Arabidopsis thaliana: one gene and its partners. The protein of the gene in region 3 interacts with the protein of the main gene of each other region in a biochemical or structural test. Each region holds a gene or a part of one and is shown on either strand. Other genes may lie near its edges.

The links.
Region 1: the proteins of FTA (region 3) and PGGT-I form a complex in vitro, tested with the Arabidopsis thaliana proteins (one study listed by BioGRID).
Region 2: the proteins of FTA (region 3) and ERA1 form a complex in vitro, tested with the Arabidopsis thaliana proteins (one study listed by BioGRID).

The regions. Positions count from the first base shown.
Region 1 is NC_003071.7:16,499,034-16,505,133, forward strand, and holds PGGT-I (Prenyltransferase family protein), read left to right. Parts: upstream 1-2,537; 5' UTR 2,538-2,632; coding exon 2,633-2,875; intron 2,876-2,963; coding exon 2,964-3,039; intron 3,040-3,133; coding exon 3,134-3,192; intron 3,193-3,287; coding exon 3,288-3,427; intron 3,428-3,625; coding exon 3,626-3,681; intron 3,682-3,773; coding exon 3,774-3,850; intron 3,851-3,952; coding exon 3,953-3,998; intron 3,999-4,255; coding exon 4,256-4,380; intron 4,381-4,480; coding exon 4,481-4,548; intron 4,549-4,624; coding exon 4,625-4,712; intron 4,713-4,961; coding exon 4,962-5,111; 3' UTR 5,112-5,346; downstream 5,347-6,100. Other genes in the region: AT2G39530 (Uncharacterized protein family (UPF0497)), read right to left, coding at 1-85, 190-368; AT2G39540 (Gibberellin-regulated family protein), read left to right, coding at 1,833-1,914, 2,027-2,208; AT2G39560 (Putative membrane lipoprotein), read right to left, coding at 6,091-6,100. UniProt on the Arabidopsis thaliana protein: Catalyzes the transfer of a geranyl-geranyl moiety from geranyl-geranyl pyrophosphate to a cysteine at the fourth position from the C-terminus of proteins having the C-terminal sequence Cys-aliphatic-aliphatic-X (CaaX).
Region 2 is NC_003076.8:16,099,164-16,106,234, forward strand, and holds ERA1 (Prenyltransferase family protein), read left to right. Parts: upstream 1-2,227; coding exon 2,228-2,460; intron 2,461-2,581; coding exon 2,582-2,668; intron 2,669-2,803; coding exon 2,804-2,909; intron 2,910-3,081; coding exon 3,082-3,117; intron 3,118-3,474; coding exon 3,475-3,707; intron 3,708-3,856; coding exon 3,857-3,908; intron 3,909-4,191; coding exon 4,192-4,256; intron 4,257-4,383; coding exon 4,384-4,440; intron 4,441-4,605; coding exon 4,606-4,678; intron 4,679-4,762; coding exon 4,763-4,849; intron 4,850-4,945; coding exon 4,946-5,111; intron 5,112-5,192; coding exon 5,193-5,302; intron 5,303-5,380; coding exon 5,381-5,620; 3' UTR 5,621-5,798; downstream 5,799-7,071. Other genes in the region: AT5G40290 (HD domain-containing metal-dependent phosphohydrolase family protein), read right to left, coding at 6,096-6,170, 6,273-6,383, 6,510-6,525, 6,613-6,679, 6,798-6,879, 6,976-7,071. UniProt on the Arabidopsis thaliana protein: Catalyzes the transfer of a farnesyl moiety from farnesyl diphosphate to a cysteine at the fourth position from the C-terminus of several proteins having the C-terminal sequence Cys-aliphatic-aliphatic-X (CaaX).
Region 3 is NC_003074.8:21,941,330-21,946,507, forward strand, and holds FTA (farnesyltransferase A), read left to right. Parts: upstream 1-2,840; 5' UTR 2,841-2,879; coding exon 2,880-3,104; intron 3,105-3,240; coding exon 3,241-3,350; intron 3,351-3,620; coding exon 3,621-3,741; intron 3,742-3,826; coding exon 3,827-3,922; intron 3,923-4,023; coding exon 4,024-4,452; 3' UTR 4,453-4,678; downstream 4,679-5,178. Other genes in the region: AT3G59370 (Vacuolar calcium-binding protein-like protein), read right to left, coding at 731-1,003, 1,189-1,203; AT3G59390 (glycosyltransferase family protein), read left to right, coding at 4,831-4,916, 5,002-5,078. UniProt on the Arabidopsis thaliana protein: Essential subunit of both the farnesyltransferase and the geranylgeranyltransferase complex.

The DNA of each region.
Region 1 (6,100 bases), on a different chromosome or scaffold from region 3:
TTTTCCGGTGGCAAATTGGGAGATTGTTAAGAACAGTTGTACAACGGCGTAAACTAGTCCGATGACGGCAGCGGACAGCATGTATCTTCATGAATGATGAATCCAAACATATATGCAAAAAATAGGTAAAAATAGTTAGTCAAATATTGGATACAAAATTTTCACAGAGAAGGTAAATAATTTATTTACCTATAAGCATAGACATCGTTGAAAGGCAATTTGATAGACGTGCTTGAAATTTCGAGAGTGACGGTGTTGGTGCTGATGAGGACCACCGTTATGAGGAGGAAAGCCGCGGTCAAAACCCTAAGGAGAAGGAGCACTGTCCTCAACGTAACGGACGGTGGTGCCGGAGGTGGTGGAGCCATATAAATCTTCCCGTTAATTAATCGTTACGCTTTAAAGAGTAAGATGAAAATGATTAAGGCTAAGATGTTCGAATGCAAGACATGGAATGTTGACTAATTTATAGCCAAAATTTACGTTGACTCGAGTTCGAAGAGTTGATTTTTGTTACATTATAATATTTAACCATAATGTAAAATATATATATGCACAAATTGTATTCTTCAATTCGTGCTGGAGCTTGCTGGAACTCGATCACCACTTCTAAGTTCTAACTTAGTAATTGAAGTCGTGATATATTTTATTGACATATGGTATTAATTTAGATTTAAAACAGTTTTTAGCCAAGGAATTGTAAGTCTAAATTCATAGTCTTCGTAGCCAGAAGGCAACCTTTGATATTATTTTTATTATCTATATCTTTTTTTTTTTTTGGACAAAGCTTGTATCTACATCTAACTGAGAAAAAAGAATGTTTTTCTTTGTCATATTATTGTTCTCAAATTCTGATTATACAACTTTTGACATCAAATCATAATTATGCAATCAAACAAACAAACCAAAAAAGAAATATGCGACTAGCGTAATTTTTGCGCCACAATGTATTTTATATGCATAGCAAATCATTAGAATCCTAGTACAACTGTACAAAGTTCGAGTTGGACACCTAGCAGCGATAATTCAAACCATGTTTCCATCTAATGTAACAGTATAGACTTAGTCGTCTATCAATTTTAGGTGCAATCATTCGTATTAAAAAGAAAACTTAGTTTTTTTTTCATACTGTTTAGAGGAACAAAATACATGTAACAAGAGGTACATTTTTGTTTGAGTTAAATTTTACAATTTTTGAATATATAGTCAACGAAGACCGAAAAAGTTGAGTCAATTCCTAAGAATCAATCTGCCACATGCATCGCCGTGCTTGAAGGGCGGCTCACTGTCTTCTTGCTTATTACTACAGTTAAATCTTTTTTTTTCAACATCTAATGCTATACTTTTAATCTATAATATATATTAGATGTGACTTAAGGAATTTCAATAGTTATACATAATAATAAAAATGAATATTTGTTAGTGTTACAAACTGTGTGTCATAATCATCATTCATCAGGATTTCAAAAATATCTCAAAATTGTTGTAAGTTCATGTAATTCGAAATGAATGTGCACTATAAGAAATAAATTTACAATTTAAAAAATGCTTCAATACTGGTTACAAAAAAAACTTTCAATACTAGTATTATACTACTTACTTAGTCAAAAAAGTTTATGAATATGGTTTTTTCTGTATGTTAATATTTTTAACTGAAAATAGTACCGACATAACAAGTAAAGATATCTTTATTTAAAGTAACAAACATTAATTTCACTTCAAATTCTCACTATTAAGGATTCCTCTCTTTGTAGCCACATTTCACCATCACTACTTTGTTTTCGCATATCTTTAAATTTTGTATACGTAGCAAACTCTTTCGAGAAAACAAGATGAAGCTCGTGGTTGTACAATTCTTCATAATCTCTCTTCTCCTCACATCTTCATTTTCTGTACTTTCAAGTGCTGATTCGTGTAAGTGTTTACTTAATCTAGTTAATAATTGTAGGTCATGCATGTATCATTTTGAAACAAGTTTTCTGAAATTCTAAGATTTTACATATATATGTGATAAATGAATTAGCAGCATGCGGTGGAAAGTGCAATGTGAGATGCTCAAAGGCAGGACAACATGAAGAATGCCTCAAGTACTGCAATATATGTTGCCAGAAGTGTAATTGTGTTCCTTCGGGAACTTTTGGACACAAAGATGAATGTCCTTGCTACCGTGATATGAAAAACTCCAAAGGTGGATCCAAGTGTCCTTGAACGTTCTTTGAAGATCCTCATCACATACATATAACTTCTACGTACTATATGTGTGGAAATATTAATCACATTCTATGTTTGAAATATATAAAATAAAATCAATGCCCCCAATGTTGGAAATCTTCAATGTGATATCTTAATATATATCACGAATAAAAAAGTTTAAATTTCTCAATCTCATTTTTAATCTTTAATCTAATTTCTTAACACATCAACGAATCTTTAATCTTTAATCATGTAGATAATTATCAGAGCACCTAAACATTGCGCCGTTTTGTGATTATACAAAGTAACATCGTGCTGTTTTTGACTTTTGAAAACCACAGATCCAAAAACTGTTTACTTTCCTCTAAGAGAAAGCAAAGCCGAGTGAGTCCAAGCGAGTTTTGAGAGATTCGTTGACTCACTACCGGAGAACGACGCTATGTCAGAGACCGCCGTGTCAATCGATTCGGACCGATCTAAGTCGGAGGAAGAAGACGAAGAAGAGTATTCTCCACCGGTGCAATCATCTCCGTCAGCGAATTTCGAGAAAGATCGACACTTGATGTATTTGGAGATGATGTACGAGTTGCTTCCGTACCATTACCAATCTCAGGAGATCAATCGTCTTACACTCGCTCATTTCATAATCTCGGGTCTTCATTTTCTCGGCGCAAGAGACCGTGTTAGTCTCTTTCTCCTCTCTCTCAAAGAATCGATCTTTGTTTTTCCCCTGAATCTGATTTAGTGAATTTCATCTATAATTTCTGAAGGTTGATAAAGATGTTGTTGCAAAGTGGGTTTTGTCCTTCCAGGCCTTTCCTACTAACAGAGTTTCACTGAAAGATGGTATTTTTCTTGAATTTAGTTAGAAGTATGTTTATGAGCAAATTGTTAATTAGTTAGTGATCAATGAATGAGATGTTCTTGTTCTTCTCTGCAGGAGAATTCTATGGTTTCTTTGGTTCAAGGAGTTCTCAGTTTCCCATTGATGAGAATGGGGTAATTATAAGTCTATATTCCTTATGCTTTATATGTTACAAGATTTATCTTTGTTTTGCATCTGTGTGGGCTTGACAGTTTAGTTTGTTGCGTAGGATTTAAAGCACAACGGTAGTCACTTGGCAAGCACTTACTGTGCTTTGGCTATTCTGAAGGTCATTGGACATGATCTCTCGACCATCGACTCAAAATCATTGCTAATTTCCATGATAAACCTTCAACAGGATGATGGAAGGTATTAGTTCTTAGAGCTTAAAAAAGTAAAATGCATTTTATAATGCCATAAGTTTATTACTTATTTTCTTTGTTCTAAGTCGTTTAGGCTAGCAATATTCTCATTTACATGGTGCAACAAGTTTGGCTTGTCAGCATATAATGATTAAATAAGCAATGGGGTCTGAATTGTGTTTGATACTTTTTTATTTTGCTACAGCTTCATGCCTATCCATATTGGAGGTGAAACGGATCTTCGATTTGTATATTGTGCAGGTAAGGAATAGCTACCTAACAGGATTTACATACCATGTCTTTATACTTTACGTAGAGTATCAATCTAGTTTTTTTTTTTTTTTGTGGTTCAGCTGCAATCTGTTACATGCTGGATAGTTGGAGTGGAATGGATAAGGAGAGTGCTAAGAACTACATATTAAACTGTCAGGTTTACTTCTGATCTTGTAGTTGCTTTTGTCTTTTTTTCTTCCATTGATATTTGTCAATTTCTGTGTTGAGAAGACATTCTTGTGCAACATTCTTTGTGCAGTCATATGATGGTGGTTTTGGATTGATCCCTGGTTCTGAATCTCATGGTGAGTTGAAAACAATTTTTCTACTATCTCACAGTTGATTTTTTCCATGTGCAGTCCAACTAAGTGGCGCATATGTTATTACTGAATTGATCATTGAGGACACTTTAGATAATTTAGTTCCTTCATCTAGGTTTCTACTTCAATGGCAACCCATAAAGAAAAGAAGTTTACTATGTTCTTACGTTATGAGGGAAATGTGTTTAATTGACTCCACTCGTGTATGATGCTTACCTACGTTCTGCAACTTAGTTATGCAGGTGGTGCCACTTACTGTGCTATTGCATCCCTTCGGTTGATGGGATACATTGGAGTTGATCTGCTGTCAAATGATTCATCCAGTTCAATAATAGACCCTTCATTACTTCTCAACTGGTGCCTACAGGTACTGCTTCATAAAATCTGTTAACTTTCACCTCATAAATATTACCTTTAGATTCGTAATGGCCTGAGTGATCTGAAATTTTTTCTTACCTTGCCTGTAGAGACAAGCAAATGATGGTGGGTTTCAAGGTAGGACTAACAAGCCAAGTGACACATGCTATGCATTTTGGTTAGTCCCCTCAACTTTTGCTGTCACCGACCCTAATTGTTCTCATCTGCTTATGATGGGCCTTGCATATTTGTAGGATTGGAGCTGTCCTTAAACTTATAGGAGGCGATGCATTGATCGACAAAATGGCTCTGCGCAAATTTTTAATGAGTTGTCAGTCCAAGGTAACTATTCTCTACATCTCATATCTCAGCTGATATTAATTTCTAAATTTGTAAAGTAACTGAGTAGATAGGCAAACCTGCAACTAAGCTAATATTTATTTAGCAATATTACTAGTAGCAGCCTATAGAGCCATTAGGATAGTTTGGTACATTGTCTTCATTCATGTGTTTACATCTACGATTCATGATCGGTTACTGATGATAACAATCTGCTTAACGCCGCCATTGTTTGTGCATTTTTGTGTCCAGTATGGTGGATTCAGTAAATTCCCCGGACAATTACCAGATCTGTATCATTCATACTACGGTTACACGGCTTTTAGTCTCTTGGAAGAACAGGGCTTGAGTCCTCTATGTCCTGAGCTAGGTTTACCTCTTCTTGCAGCCCCGGGAATTTGATGTTTAGATTGTCTCAAAGTCACATTCTTTTTTCACCACATTGTAACATTTATGTCAACATTCCGTGTGGTAACATTGCTAAAACTCACAGAATGAATATTGTAAACCAAAGAAAAGCAAATTTAGTTGTTGAGTTTTATTTTCTGTTCTTTTTAGACTAGGGACGAAAAATCAAAAACTTTTAAATCATAAATCTGTGAATAAGATGTTGCATGATTGTGTAAGAAAGTTCGGGAAAAAAAAACAAAAGACTATTGTAAGATTGCAGTTTCGCTTTGTTAACGAGTGAGTGGTGTTGTTGACGCCACTTGGATGGAAAAGTATCAGACATAAACTGCAAAAACTGGGACAAAATCCTAAAGGGGAAGAGATTCCCCACTTGGCCTCTCATGAGTCTTGTCTCTATTCATAAATCGTCTTATTCCAATTTACCGGTCGATGTTCTTCAATGCCGTAAAAAGAATCATTCTTACTGTAGTGTGTTTTGATGCAAATGATCTCGAATAAATCAAATTAGATTAGTATATAATTCTTTTACCTTTTCTCTTCACGTGTTCTGTTTAACTTTCTAACTCCATATTCGATAAAACGAGAATTAATTCCTTTTTAAAAGTGAAAGTCGGTTTAGGATTTGAGTGTTGAGTTCATGCATCTTTAAATGTCAACCACAACACTTGTGGTAACTTTGCTACAAGAAAATAGAATCCAAAGCCTATCTTTATTCGCGTGATTTGACTCAAAATCCACAAATTTGGCTAACAAATTCTCTATCCACCGAAAATTTACAACCGGTTTAATCCGATGACGAGCTAGACCAAAAAAAATGTTGATGATTAAGGACAATTAAATCAGACTAAAAACCGGTTTAATTCTATTAATCATTCCTGGTTTTTCTCTCCTAGACCTCATCTTCTTGAATCTTGATTACCAAATCCGATTCTTGAACTGTGTTTTACCAAACTTTTACCACTTGAATTTACTAAGCTTCT
Region 2 (7,071 bases), on a different chromosome or scaffold from region 3:
AGGGTATGGAGCTGTCTTAGCCACTTGAAGAAAAATCTGATGATCATGCAAATATTCACCATTCTTCTTTTGCAGCGCCTACAGTATAAAAGATTTAGTCAGCAATTGTACTTTTCAAATGACTACTTGAATACCTTTTTCATAATTACAACAAAACTACTCTCACCTTCTTTGCTTCGTTAGAAGAAGCAAAGTCAACAAAGCCATAGCCCACATGCTTGGTTTACAATAAGTCGAACACTAACAACTTCTCCAACATCTTTGAAGAATTCTTTGCTGTAAAAGTGAAGGATAAAATATCAGTCATAGAAAACTTGGTCCGAGAATGAAAGTGGAAATTTGAGGTGCTACTTACACATGCAATATTTTAGTTTGGGGAGAGAGATTGGCAACATAGAGTACTTCCTGAATTCAAAAAAATAGAGATTGGCAATATTTTAGTGTGTGAATAATATTCATCCCTAAAAAGAAGTCATCTTTCGACTTTGTGGCAACAGTTCTGTTATTAAAATGTGTGAGCGTGACATATTTTGAAGAGGTACCTCAACAAAATCGGAAGGTGTCTCATTTTCTTCTATCGGAAGGCTTTCTCGTTGAAGGTAGTCGTTGTAGCTGAAAAATTAAGAAAACCTAGTGAGCTCTTCATGTATTCAAAAATTCAACCAGTGTAATCAAACTCAAGAGGTAAATAGTTAAAATCCCATACCAAACCGTGTAATCTATGCAATACCTAATTAACAAAGTTAAAAGCGTTAGTCTAGCAGTAATATTGTATCAAAAGCTCTAACAGTAATTAATAACCAGTGTCACCAGAAACAAATGTCAATAACATGGAAAATTGAATTTACTTGAGTCCTGGAGGTCGTGGACGTCGTGGAGGCTGTGGACGTCGTGAATACACATAAAGAAAAATCTTATAATCGTGCAAATATTCACCGTTCTTCTTATACAGCACCTACGGTAATAAAGAGTTTATTCAGCAATCGTACATTCAAATTGAAACTTAGATACACTATATATTTTTCATCATAACTAACTATAAACTAGTCTAAACCTTTTTTGCTTCGTTAGCAGAAGCAAAGTCAACAAGGCCATAGCACCTATGGATACGCTTGGCGGTTACAAAAAGTCGAACACGAACAACTTCTCCAGCATCTTTGAAGAAATTGATGCTGTAACAAACAGTGTAAGGTAAAAATATCAGTCATGCTCAGAGAAGGAAAGTGGAGATTGAAGATGGTGCTACTTACATATCTGATATTTTAGTTTGGGGAGGGATATGGCCATTAAAGAGCGTCTTTTTTGTCACCTGGATTTAACAGCCAAGTGTGTTAGCACAAGATTCTTAATTGAACAGAAATTTGTACAAAATATCTAGCAAATCCGTTGGTTGTTTCCTCCTGTTACATATGATACAAGATCAAAGAGTAGCCATTAGAAGAAGACAGTGTAAAGAAGATTGTTTTGTCAAAGAAGAAGAGTAATACGAGGCCATCTTAGGGTTACCTTATTCTACTTATGTCTCTTGAGAATGGAATTGGTCACCAAATCATCTTCTTCAGGGTTACGCTTACCTAAAAGAAGAGCAACAAAAAAAAAACTCTTGAGACAAGTTTAACACATTAGATAAAAGAGAGAGAGAGAGAGGCAACCAAAAACAAACCCAATAAATTGCTACTAGAAGTGGCCATGGAGAAGATGAAACGAGGTTTATGTATTTTTCCGTTAAGAGCAAGCAATAATATAGCCCTAAAGAAATATAGACCTAGCCTAGGAAGAAGTTTCTAAGACCATCCTTATCAATGAACTCTTACATAAAGTTCTAAACAATTTTGATATACAAAATAATGTTTAAACATTAGAATGGCTCTTACAAAAAAAGAGAATAAAGAAAAAAAAAACTTAGCTAAGAGCCATTTTTCATTTCTTAAGCACACTTTTTTATTTTTTTATTCTTATTTTATTTAATATAATATTTTGATAGTTCTTATGATATTGTTAACAACCTATTGATAAGGATGCTCTAACTAATCTTATAAATAAAACAATGAATCTGGTTTGGTCTGGGCGTAACAGAAATTATACTCTTTTTTTTTTTTGTCAAGAGGAAATTATACTAAGAAGCAACAGATTAAACATTAAAGCGTATAGTAAAATTAATTGTTTGAGAATCTTAAACCAAACCGAACCGGTATTAAACCGGAACCAAATTGGCAATGAAATTTAGATGCCAGTAGTAACCCGCTTGATTCGTTTGAAGTGTGTAGGGCTCAGACTTGACCGGAGTGGACTCAATCGGCGAATCTGTCACGGAGGACACGGGGAATCAACGCGGCGGAGAGTGATGGAAGAGCTTTCAAGCCTAACCGTGAGTCAGCGCGAGCAATTTCTGGTGGAGAACGATGTGTTCGGGATCTATAATTACTTCGACGCCAGCGACGTTTCTACTCAAAAATACATGTAAGCTCACGGATTTGATTTTCTAGTTTTCTTCATGATCTGATGAATTTTAGTAGCGTCGTGAAAGAATTATTTTCGTCGATAGATGAATCTTACTGATATGGAAGTTGTTCTATCCTAGGATGGAGATTCAGCGAGATAAGCAATTGGATTATCTGATGAAAGGCTTAAGGCAGCTTGGTCCGCAGTTTTCTTCCTTAGATGCTAAGTAAGTGACATGATGCTTGGCTTCTTGTTTTCATGAATTTCTTAGTACATTTTGTCCAGTGAGAGAGTAAAGCCCCTTTGGATTTTTGCCAATAGATTAGAAGTTTGATTTTGGCTTTTTTGGATTTTGGAACAGTCGACCTTGGCTTTGTTACTGGATTCTTCATTCAATAGCTTTGCTTGGGGAGACTGTGGATGATGAATTAGAAAGCAATGCCATTGACTTCCTTGGACGCTGCCAGGTTAGGCTCAATTCCTTTTGCTTGTACCCAATCATGAAAACTCTTCATATTTGCTCTTGCATTCTTCTTGATTTTCTGCTCCTTTAGTTCACGTTTTCTTTTCCCGTTGCTATTAGTGTTATCTGTTATTGTTCTTTATGTACTTAGTTTGCTTTCTCATGTCGCTTGTCAGGGCTCTGAAGGTGGATACGGTGGTGGTCCTGGCCAAGTAAGTATATGTCTGTTTCTTTAAAGTGTGTGGATCACTTTCATTTCATGCAATTGGAGAATAAACATTGAGACCAGATTATTTTATTCTGCCAGATCTCTTTTAGGTGTTTTTTTTATGCATCATCTCATTGTTTGGTTGTGATGCCTTTAATTCAAGCAGCACACGTAGTTTAAGTTTAAGTTTTTTTCTGTGAAGACGTAAAATGGTGTCTTTAGTTCAAGCAGCATTTAGTTGTTTAAGTTTGTGGTTGTAAATTTTCCAAACATGGCAGAGAAAGTTAGGATATATAACTTTTGGTCTGCCTTTTTCAGTTTCCTTTTTTTTTCTACTAGTAATGGAGATATTTTTTCCCAGCTTCCACATCTTGCAACTACTTATGCTGCAGTGAATGCACTTGTTACTTTAGGAGGTGACAAAGCCCTTTCTTCAATTAATAGGTGGTGCATTCTTTTTTCTTTGTGGTCAGTTTCTTTTATTAAGAGTCTAGTGATGTTTCCTCTAGAATACTTACATGTGACTCATTCTTCTTTCAGAGAAAAAATGTCTTGTTTTTTAAGACGGATGAAGGATACAAGTGGAGGTTTCAGGTTTGATTCTCTTTCTGCTTGAACTTCTTAAAGGCATCATTTTTACTGACAGCTCACTCTTTATGCATTCGTATCGCTGTTAATGCCATACCTTCAGTCATGTTGTTTTTTTAATTCTTGCTTAATTCTACTTACTCACTGATCGTTAGGATGCATGATATGGGAGAAATGGATGTTCGTGCATGCTACACTGCAATTTCGGTGAGTTTTACCAACTTCTATTTTCCTTTTCTCTGTTTTTGTGGACACCAAAACTTTTTAGGATTAATGAGATCAACAAAGTCTGGACCCATTATGCTATGTTTCTTCCGTTTTCATGGCTTAAACATCACATTCAGATTACGATATGATCTTATTATTTGCACACTTGCGCCCACCAGATACTTTGAATAGAGATTACTCGTTTTGAGACTTACACGTGTTGCAAATGCATCCTATGGCTGGTTTTCTCCCTGATATGTTTGACTTCTCTCTTGTGACACAGGTTGCAAGCATCCTAAATATTATGGATGATGAACTCACCCAGGGCCTAGGAGATTACATCTTGAGGTAGCTTTTCTTATTACTTTTATCTCGCATTATATATATATAGCTGAACTACTGTTATACAGTTGTAAATTCAGGAATTCATTAATTTCCCTGGGAAAGCTCTTTTAACTCGATTTATATTGAGCAGTTGCCAAACTTATGAAGGTGGCATTGGAGGGGAACCTGGCTCCGAAGCTCACGGTGGGTATGGTCTCCTACTTACTTCCATTATGTTGAGGCTTAGATAAAAATTGTGCTTTGCTTCCCTCTTCCTTGATGACATGGTTATTGATGGTTAAGTATAATTAATTTTCTGAAATAGGATTTGTCACCTGCAGCTTTGCTTATTACCAAGTTGTTTTTTGTTTAGGTATACCTACTGTGGTTTGGCTGCTATGATTTTAATCAATGAGGTCGACCGTTTGAATTTGGATTCATTAATGGTAACATACAATGCTGTTTGGAGATGATTAATAATTTTCCCTGAGAGATATTTTCCTTACCAAATAATTTCCTTATGATTCTAGAATTGGGCTGTACATCGACAAGGAGTAGAAATGGGATTTCAAGGTAGGACGAACAAATTGGTCGATGGTTGCTACACATTTTGGCAGGTTAACTTTCTATCTTTCAGGATTATTATTGGCCCTACTTCTAAATTCTTCACCGTTGTTGTCTTTTCTTATTTCCTTTGGGTATATGTTAAACAGGCAGCCCCTTGTGTTCTACTACAAAGATTATATTCAACCAATGATCATGACGTTCATGGATCATCACATATATCAGAAGGGACAAATGAAGAACATCATGCTCATGATGAAGATGACCTTGAAGACAGTGATGATGATGATGATTCTGATGAGGACAACGATGAAGGTATTCAATCAAATTTCTCAACCATCAAGTCCATCTGATAATTCAAAACACAACGAAATTTTAGTTAGCTTATATTTGCAGATTCAGTGAATGGTCACAGAATCCATCATACATCCACCTACATTAACAGGAGAATGCAACTGGTTTTTGATAGCCTCGGCTTGCAGAGATATGTACTCTTGTGCTCTAAGGTCAGTCCAGAACAAAACATCCAGTCAAGTTAACACTTAACATTTGTATAACACAAGCACACACACTTGTATGCGCAGATCCCTGACGGTGGATTCAGAGACAAGCCGAGGAAACCCCGTGACTTCTACCACACATGTTACTGCCTGAGCGGCTTGTCTGTGGCTCAGCACGCTTGGTTAAAAGACGAGGACACTCCTCCTTTGACTCGCGACATTATGGGTGGCTACTCGAATCTCCTTGAACCTGTTCAACTTCTTCACAACATTGTCATGGATCAGTATAATGAAGCTATCGAGTTCTTCTTTAAAGCAGCATGACCCGTTGTTGCTAATGTATGGGAAACTCCAAACATAAGAGTTTTCGTAGTGTTGTAACTTGTAAGATTTCAAAAGAAGTTTCACTAATTTAACCTTAAAACCTGTTACTTTTTTATTACGTATATACCATTTATCATATCTTTGGTTTACGACTTAAAGAATTTGATGATTGTTGAAAGACTTGCATCGTTATTGGTTTTAGAGAATTCTGACAAACTCGTGTAGTAGAAATGCATGGATTCGTAGTGAACGAGTTTGTATCCGATATCACCTGAACGTCAGGTGTTTCGAACCAAAAATTGGATGTTAAAACCAAAAAATAGATCAACCAAACATGAACATATCTTTGTTCTTCAAATCTTGTCGAGATATAATATTTAACAAAAAAAAAAAAACTTATTACTTCCACCGTCACCAATTCCCCCCCAGAAACAAGAACCCATGTAATGAAGTAAATCATGGCTAAGCCACGTAGTTACATCAGTACTTGAGCTTTGATTCCATACGTTCTCATTTGGAAGTTTTCAAATGCCTCAGAAACTGCTTCTACCTGTAGAATAAACATTGCAAACCAGAAAAATAAAAACGTTACTTTGTGGTTAAATAAAACGAAACAGTAATGTAATCATAAAAGAGAGTAATAATCACATACCAATTCTGGTTTTTTGGCATATACTCTCACTATCATTTCTTGATATGTTGTTGGTAACAAGTGGCTAACTCTGTCCTCAGGTATCACAAACTTCTCTGCACTATTATAATCCTGTAAATACCATAGAAAAATCAATTTGTTTATTGAGATTCTCTGTGTTATTTTCAAGGTTTCCTCTCTTTACACATTTAGAGAATCAAATCTGCATAACAAGAACGAAGACTTTTATGTATGTACCTTATAGAAGTTGATGCTAAAGAAGTCAAGCACAAGGATAAGTTGGTTAGAACTTTAATGAGGAAATTGAGAAAACAGAGAAGCTAAACTGTACTTTGTTTACCATTCAAGAGGATTTTCTCTCCCACGAGCTAAATCAATCTTGACGTTTGTAACAGCTATATCTTCTTCTTTTAGTGTCAAGCTTGTTTGCTTCTGTTAAATCAGAGTGATACGTATATATGGCAAAGGTCCTCACTGTATATAAAAATAGTTTCCTCTTATTTTGCTGTGTTAAAGATTACAAACCTGAGAAACAGATGATATCTTCAGGAGTGATAGGTTTGAAATGATCGATTTTGTCCTTTGGTACCGCATACTCGTTACAGAACTGCAAGTAAGAAGTCATACATGTCTTTCTTCAGAAGGACGATACTTTACCTAAATAAGCACCAAAAGAAAGGTAAAGTTTGTATAAAAAAGTTACTTGGTACAAGTGCCTTCTGCTAAGGCGGAGTATCAGCTCTTTAGCTTCTGCAAGTTCTGGATCTGGAGATCTTTCAATCGTTTTGAGGATTGTGTC
Region 3 (5,178 bases):
TGAGCTAGTCAGCTAGCAAGCGAATTTGATTTACTTCTAATAAGTTTCATGTAACTGCTTCAGCGTATAAGGAAAGAAAGGTGATGTCCGATGAGGCAGCTGACTACTTTGCAAGTATGTGGCCGCCTCTTCTTGAAAACGTAAGGTCTTCTTATAATCTTATTCAGTTTTCTAAGGCATTTTGTAAGTTTGGATACACTGAATGGACTAACTGATCTTTCTTCTTTAACCCACTTTGTGAAACATTTGGTTTATTTCGAAAGTCTCAAAAAGAGGAGATTGAAGCATTGCAGGATGGAACTCTCACCCCACAAAAGACTAGGCGGTTTTGTATCTTCTTCTTTTAGTACTAGATATTAACTTGTTTTTGTAGCTCTATCTATATCTATCTCAAAATGATATTCCCCATACATAGATAAATTATGACTTGTTTAATTTGTTTGTTTTGATGAAATTTGTGTATAATTTGGCGGTACTGTTTCGTGTTGAAGAGCCCAAGCTTGTTTAAATTGTTTCTTGTTGGGTTCTGTCTAGCTTCTGTTGATTTACGACTACAATACTATGTTCATGTAATCACACAAAAAACGATATGAGACCAAAAAAACATAAACAGTTCAAACAAGATGGGCTCTTCAACACGAAAGAAAGGTGAAATGTTGATAAAATAAAATAAACAGAAAACGATATGAGATCGAAAAAGGTCGGTCATATAGAGCTTCTTCCTTCCTCTTTACTCCTTGGCCTTCTCGACGGCGACTTCCTCAGCAGCCGCAACTTCAGTCTGTTTCTCCTCCAACGCCTCAGTCTTCTTCTCCTCCGGAGTTTCAGTCACTTCTTCAGCTTTCTTCTCCTCCTCCACAACTGTTGGAGTTTCAGTGATCACTGCTGCCTTCTCTTCTTCATCCTCATTTGTCTTCTCTGCATCTTCCACAAACACTTCTTCCGGGTGTTGATTCACCTCCGTCTCAACGATCTCTACTGCTACTGAAGTCACGTGTTCAACCTGTAAGCGAAAACACACTTATTAAACGAAAAAATGCATGCCGTTTAAACGGCGAATAGTCCATATCACTTGATAGACATAGATTTCTAGATACATGATATATATATATATATATATTAACAACGAATATGAACCATAGATACAGGTTTATAGTTTGACAAAATAAAAATAAAGAGAATATATACCTCAACGGTGGCCATTTCGAAGGAAAATATAGTGTATGTGATGCTTTGGTGTATGAAGAGATTTGATCAAGATGAGAGGTATTTATAGTAGAAGCAAACCGTTTACAATAATGTTTTTTCAAACTAAATATCTATTAAGATAAAATTATTAGTTTTTTGAAAGAACCATGATGATGATTATTGCACATGAACGAACCTTTTTTTTGCTTATATATAAAAGCAATTGTACTATTTTACACCTCATGCCCACATAGTATGGGGTGACTGGAGAGGGCTTTAGAGGGTAGCTGTTACTTTATATAAGCTGTAAAGTCTTATACTGTGATTTTTATTTTTTAAAAAATAAAGCTATGACTTAAAAAAAAATATAGTTTTACGAATTTTTACTTTAAAATAAGTTGTAAAGTTATATACATACTGTAAATTTTATTTTAGGAATTTTTTCATATTTTTAAAAAGTACAAAATAAAATATTGTTTTTGTTATTCCTCAGCTCTTGTGAAAAATCATTACTTAATCTTCATTAATCGATTGTTTAGGTCTTATTAATCATGTGTTGAGTTGGGACCATGATTAAGCAATAAGAGTCATTTACCTCCTGTCAAGTATGCATATGCATATACTTTTGGTTGTTGAATATTGTTGGTTGCAAGCAGTACAATCGGGAGAGAAAGGATCGAAAGATCGACAAAGGTGTTGCTAAAGCTGAGGGTGCTGATTAATCAAGGATTAATCAATACGATATCTGAAGCTAAAACTAGAACACCAAAATGTTGATTCATGATCTTAACTCCTAAACATTTCCTTGGTTAATGAAAGAGTTCGTTCATCTTTCAAACCATTGACAATAATAGCAGCTGTCACCTCTTCTTCACCATTACGGGCTTCTTCTTGATGTAATGGTGAATAGTAAGGCCTCTATGCTGTTATACAATGCTTTAAGTACAAGGATTTAAAAAATATTTACAAGCCTTTTTTTAAGAGTTTTAAAAGGATTTACAATGATTTTAAAGGATTTTAAAACTTTTATAATTCCTTTTAAAGTCATTTGAAAACTTTTGTAAATGCTTTCAAAACTCTCAAAAAATTTTTTTTTTTTTTTTTAAACTCTTAAAATTATCCTTGTTGTATATATTATTTAAAGCCTTTTAAACCCTTAAAATATATTTTACAATGGTTTTAAATGATTTATAAGGATTCTAAAATATTGAAAAAATGTTTTAAAAAGGATTTTAAAGTATTTACATGTATATTTAAAAACTTTATAAGGATTTTAATAAGTTTTAAAATGGTTTACAAGAGTTTTTAACAATTTTACAAAGCTTTAAAAAACTTTACTAGGATTTTCTAAGAATTTTTAAAGGATTTACAATGGTTTTTTAAGGGTTCTAAACAAAATTAGAAAGACTTTAAATGCAATTTTTTGGCGGGAAAAAACAGAGAAAATAAAATTTTGGCACTTAAAATTTAGGTGGGTAAGTTTTGGTTTCTAACTACATGTTCTCATTAGATTTGATGATGATTAATTTAGTCATTTTGGTTAAGAAAGTGGTTATTTTTAAAAATGGGCCAAAAAAGGATATCATAGTAGAATTGTGGTTTGGGCTTAAAAGCCCATTACCCCTCCCCTAATTAGTTTTCAACTTTTCATGGAGTCTTCGGTTTTCGACTTTGGATCGGAGTCGGGGAACATGAATTTCGACGAGACCGTGCCACTGAGCCAACGATTGGAGTGGTCAGACGTGGTCCCATTGACTCAGGACGATGGTCCGAATCCAGTGGTGCCAATTGCCTACAAGGAAGAGTTCCGCGAGACTATGGATTACTTCCGTGCGATTTACTTTTCCGACGAGCGATCTCCTCGCGCACTACGACTCACGGAAGAAACCCTCCTCTTAAACTCCGGCAACTACACAGTAATCAATCTTATAATTCATATAATCAACAACTATCTGAACTCTTATGGTTTTGAAATTTGATGGATTTTAGTCTTTTATTGGTCCTTGTTGCTTCAATTTTTAGTCTTACCGATATTTTTGTTTACCTTTGAAGGTGTGGCATTTCAGGCGCCTAGTACTCGAGGCCCTTAATCACGACTTGTTTGAAGAACTCGAGTTCATCGAACGCATTGCTGAGGATAACTCTAAGAACTACCAACTGTGGTAAAGTTCATACCTTTTCACACCTTGTTTGATCTATGTGCTTTTGATCATGAAAGTCTATGAGTGAGTTATACTTTTGAAAATTGTCTGATGAATAATTTTGAATCAATAAATGTATATTCTACTTCTCCATAGATGAAAGTTTGTTCTTGTACACATTGTTAAGTTCATAGTGTCTCATATCTGCTGATTATACAACGTTAAAACCCTTGGTTGTTTGTTTTGAGTTTGATGGTCCATGCTTCTGCTCTATGTTTTCCTTTTCTCTAGGCATCATCGGCGATGGGTTGCAGAGAAACTGGGTCCTGATGTTGCAGGGAGAGAACTTGAATTTACCCGTAGAGTACTTTCACTTGATGCCAAACATTATCATGCTTGGTCACATAGGCAGGTTTGCGATCTCAAACCTTGTTAAAGCATTCACTTGGGGTATCATTGCATATCTTTTTGTTTGATAATATGGAAACAATCTGCAGTGGACACTACGGGCATTAGGAGGATGGGAAGATGAGCTCGATTACTGTCACGAGCTCCTTGAAGCTGACGTCTTTAACAATTCCGCCTGGAATCAGGTAACTTGATCGTTGATACACATACGAAATTCTGTATCTCTAATCTATCAATTGCCGATTCTGTCACCTATTTGTATAATCTCATTCCCTTAATCTGACAGAGGTATTATGTCATCACCCAATCTCCTTTGTTGGGAGGCCTAGAAGCCATGAGAGAATCTGAAGTAAGCTACACAATCAAAGCCATTTTAACCAATCCTGCAAACGAGAGCTCATGGCGATACCTAAAAGCTCTTTACAAAGACGACAAAGAATCCTGGATTAGTGATCCAAGTGTTTCCTCAGTCTGTTTGAATGTTCTATCCCGCACAGATTGCTTCCATGGATTCGCTCTGAGCACCCTTTTGGATCTTCTATGTGATGGACTGAGACCAACCAACGAGCATAAAGACTCAGTGAGAGCTCTAGCTAATGAAGAACCAGAGACTAACTTGGCCAATTTGGTGTGTACTATTCTTGGTCGTGTAGATCCTGTAAGAGCTAACTATTGGGCATGGAGGAAGAGCAAGATTACAGTGGCAGCAATTTGAATATGTGACGCCCCAAAATCACACTTGAAAAAGACTTGATTATTAGTTTTTACGTATGTACTGCTTATTTATGAATCACATGTTCATGTTAACATGTATCAAAACAATCTTGATTTCTCAGTTTCCTTCGCCTTGTGATATTCAGAGAAGCTTTCTCAAGAATGATTTTGCATCACACACTTTGACTAAACGCATTGCTCTCTCGATAACCGGAAGATCAAAACCGAAACCGGGTTTTGGTTTGGCTCGCGGATTTCCCCAATTCAATTTTAACGACAAAACTATACTAATTCATAAGATTAAAAAAAAAGTTTCTGAAGTGGTCGAAGTCGGAAGCGTGATTTGGTCGAAAGATTGGTTCTTTCTCCGACAAGAATTATGTCCAAATCTGGGTTTAGTCTGCTGTTCCTCGTTCTTCTACTTATCATGGGTTTCTTATTTCCGTTGAGAGTTTCTGCAATTAGGTGATTAATTTTGGGTAACAACCATTGCTTCTATGAATTGTCCCGCTTAGTTTCATTTCCTTGAGATTTTCGAATGAATTTGCAGGAAGGATATCGGATTTTTGGAAGAGCGGAGTTGCAGAACAACTGTCCAAGGAAGATACTTGATCTCCGATGATGAAGGTTAGCGATTTCCACTCTTGGAAAGATTCACCTTTTTGAACATTTTGAATCTCTTTCGACTTAGATTTGGTGATCCATGAATGGTTTGTTGTTGCAACTT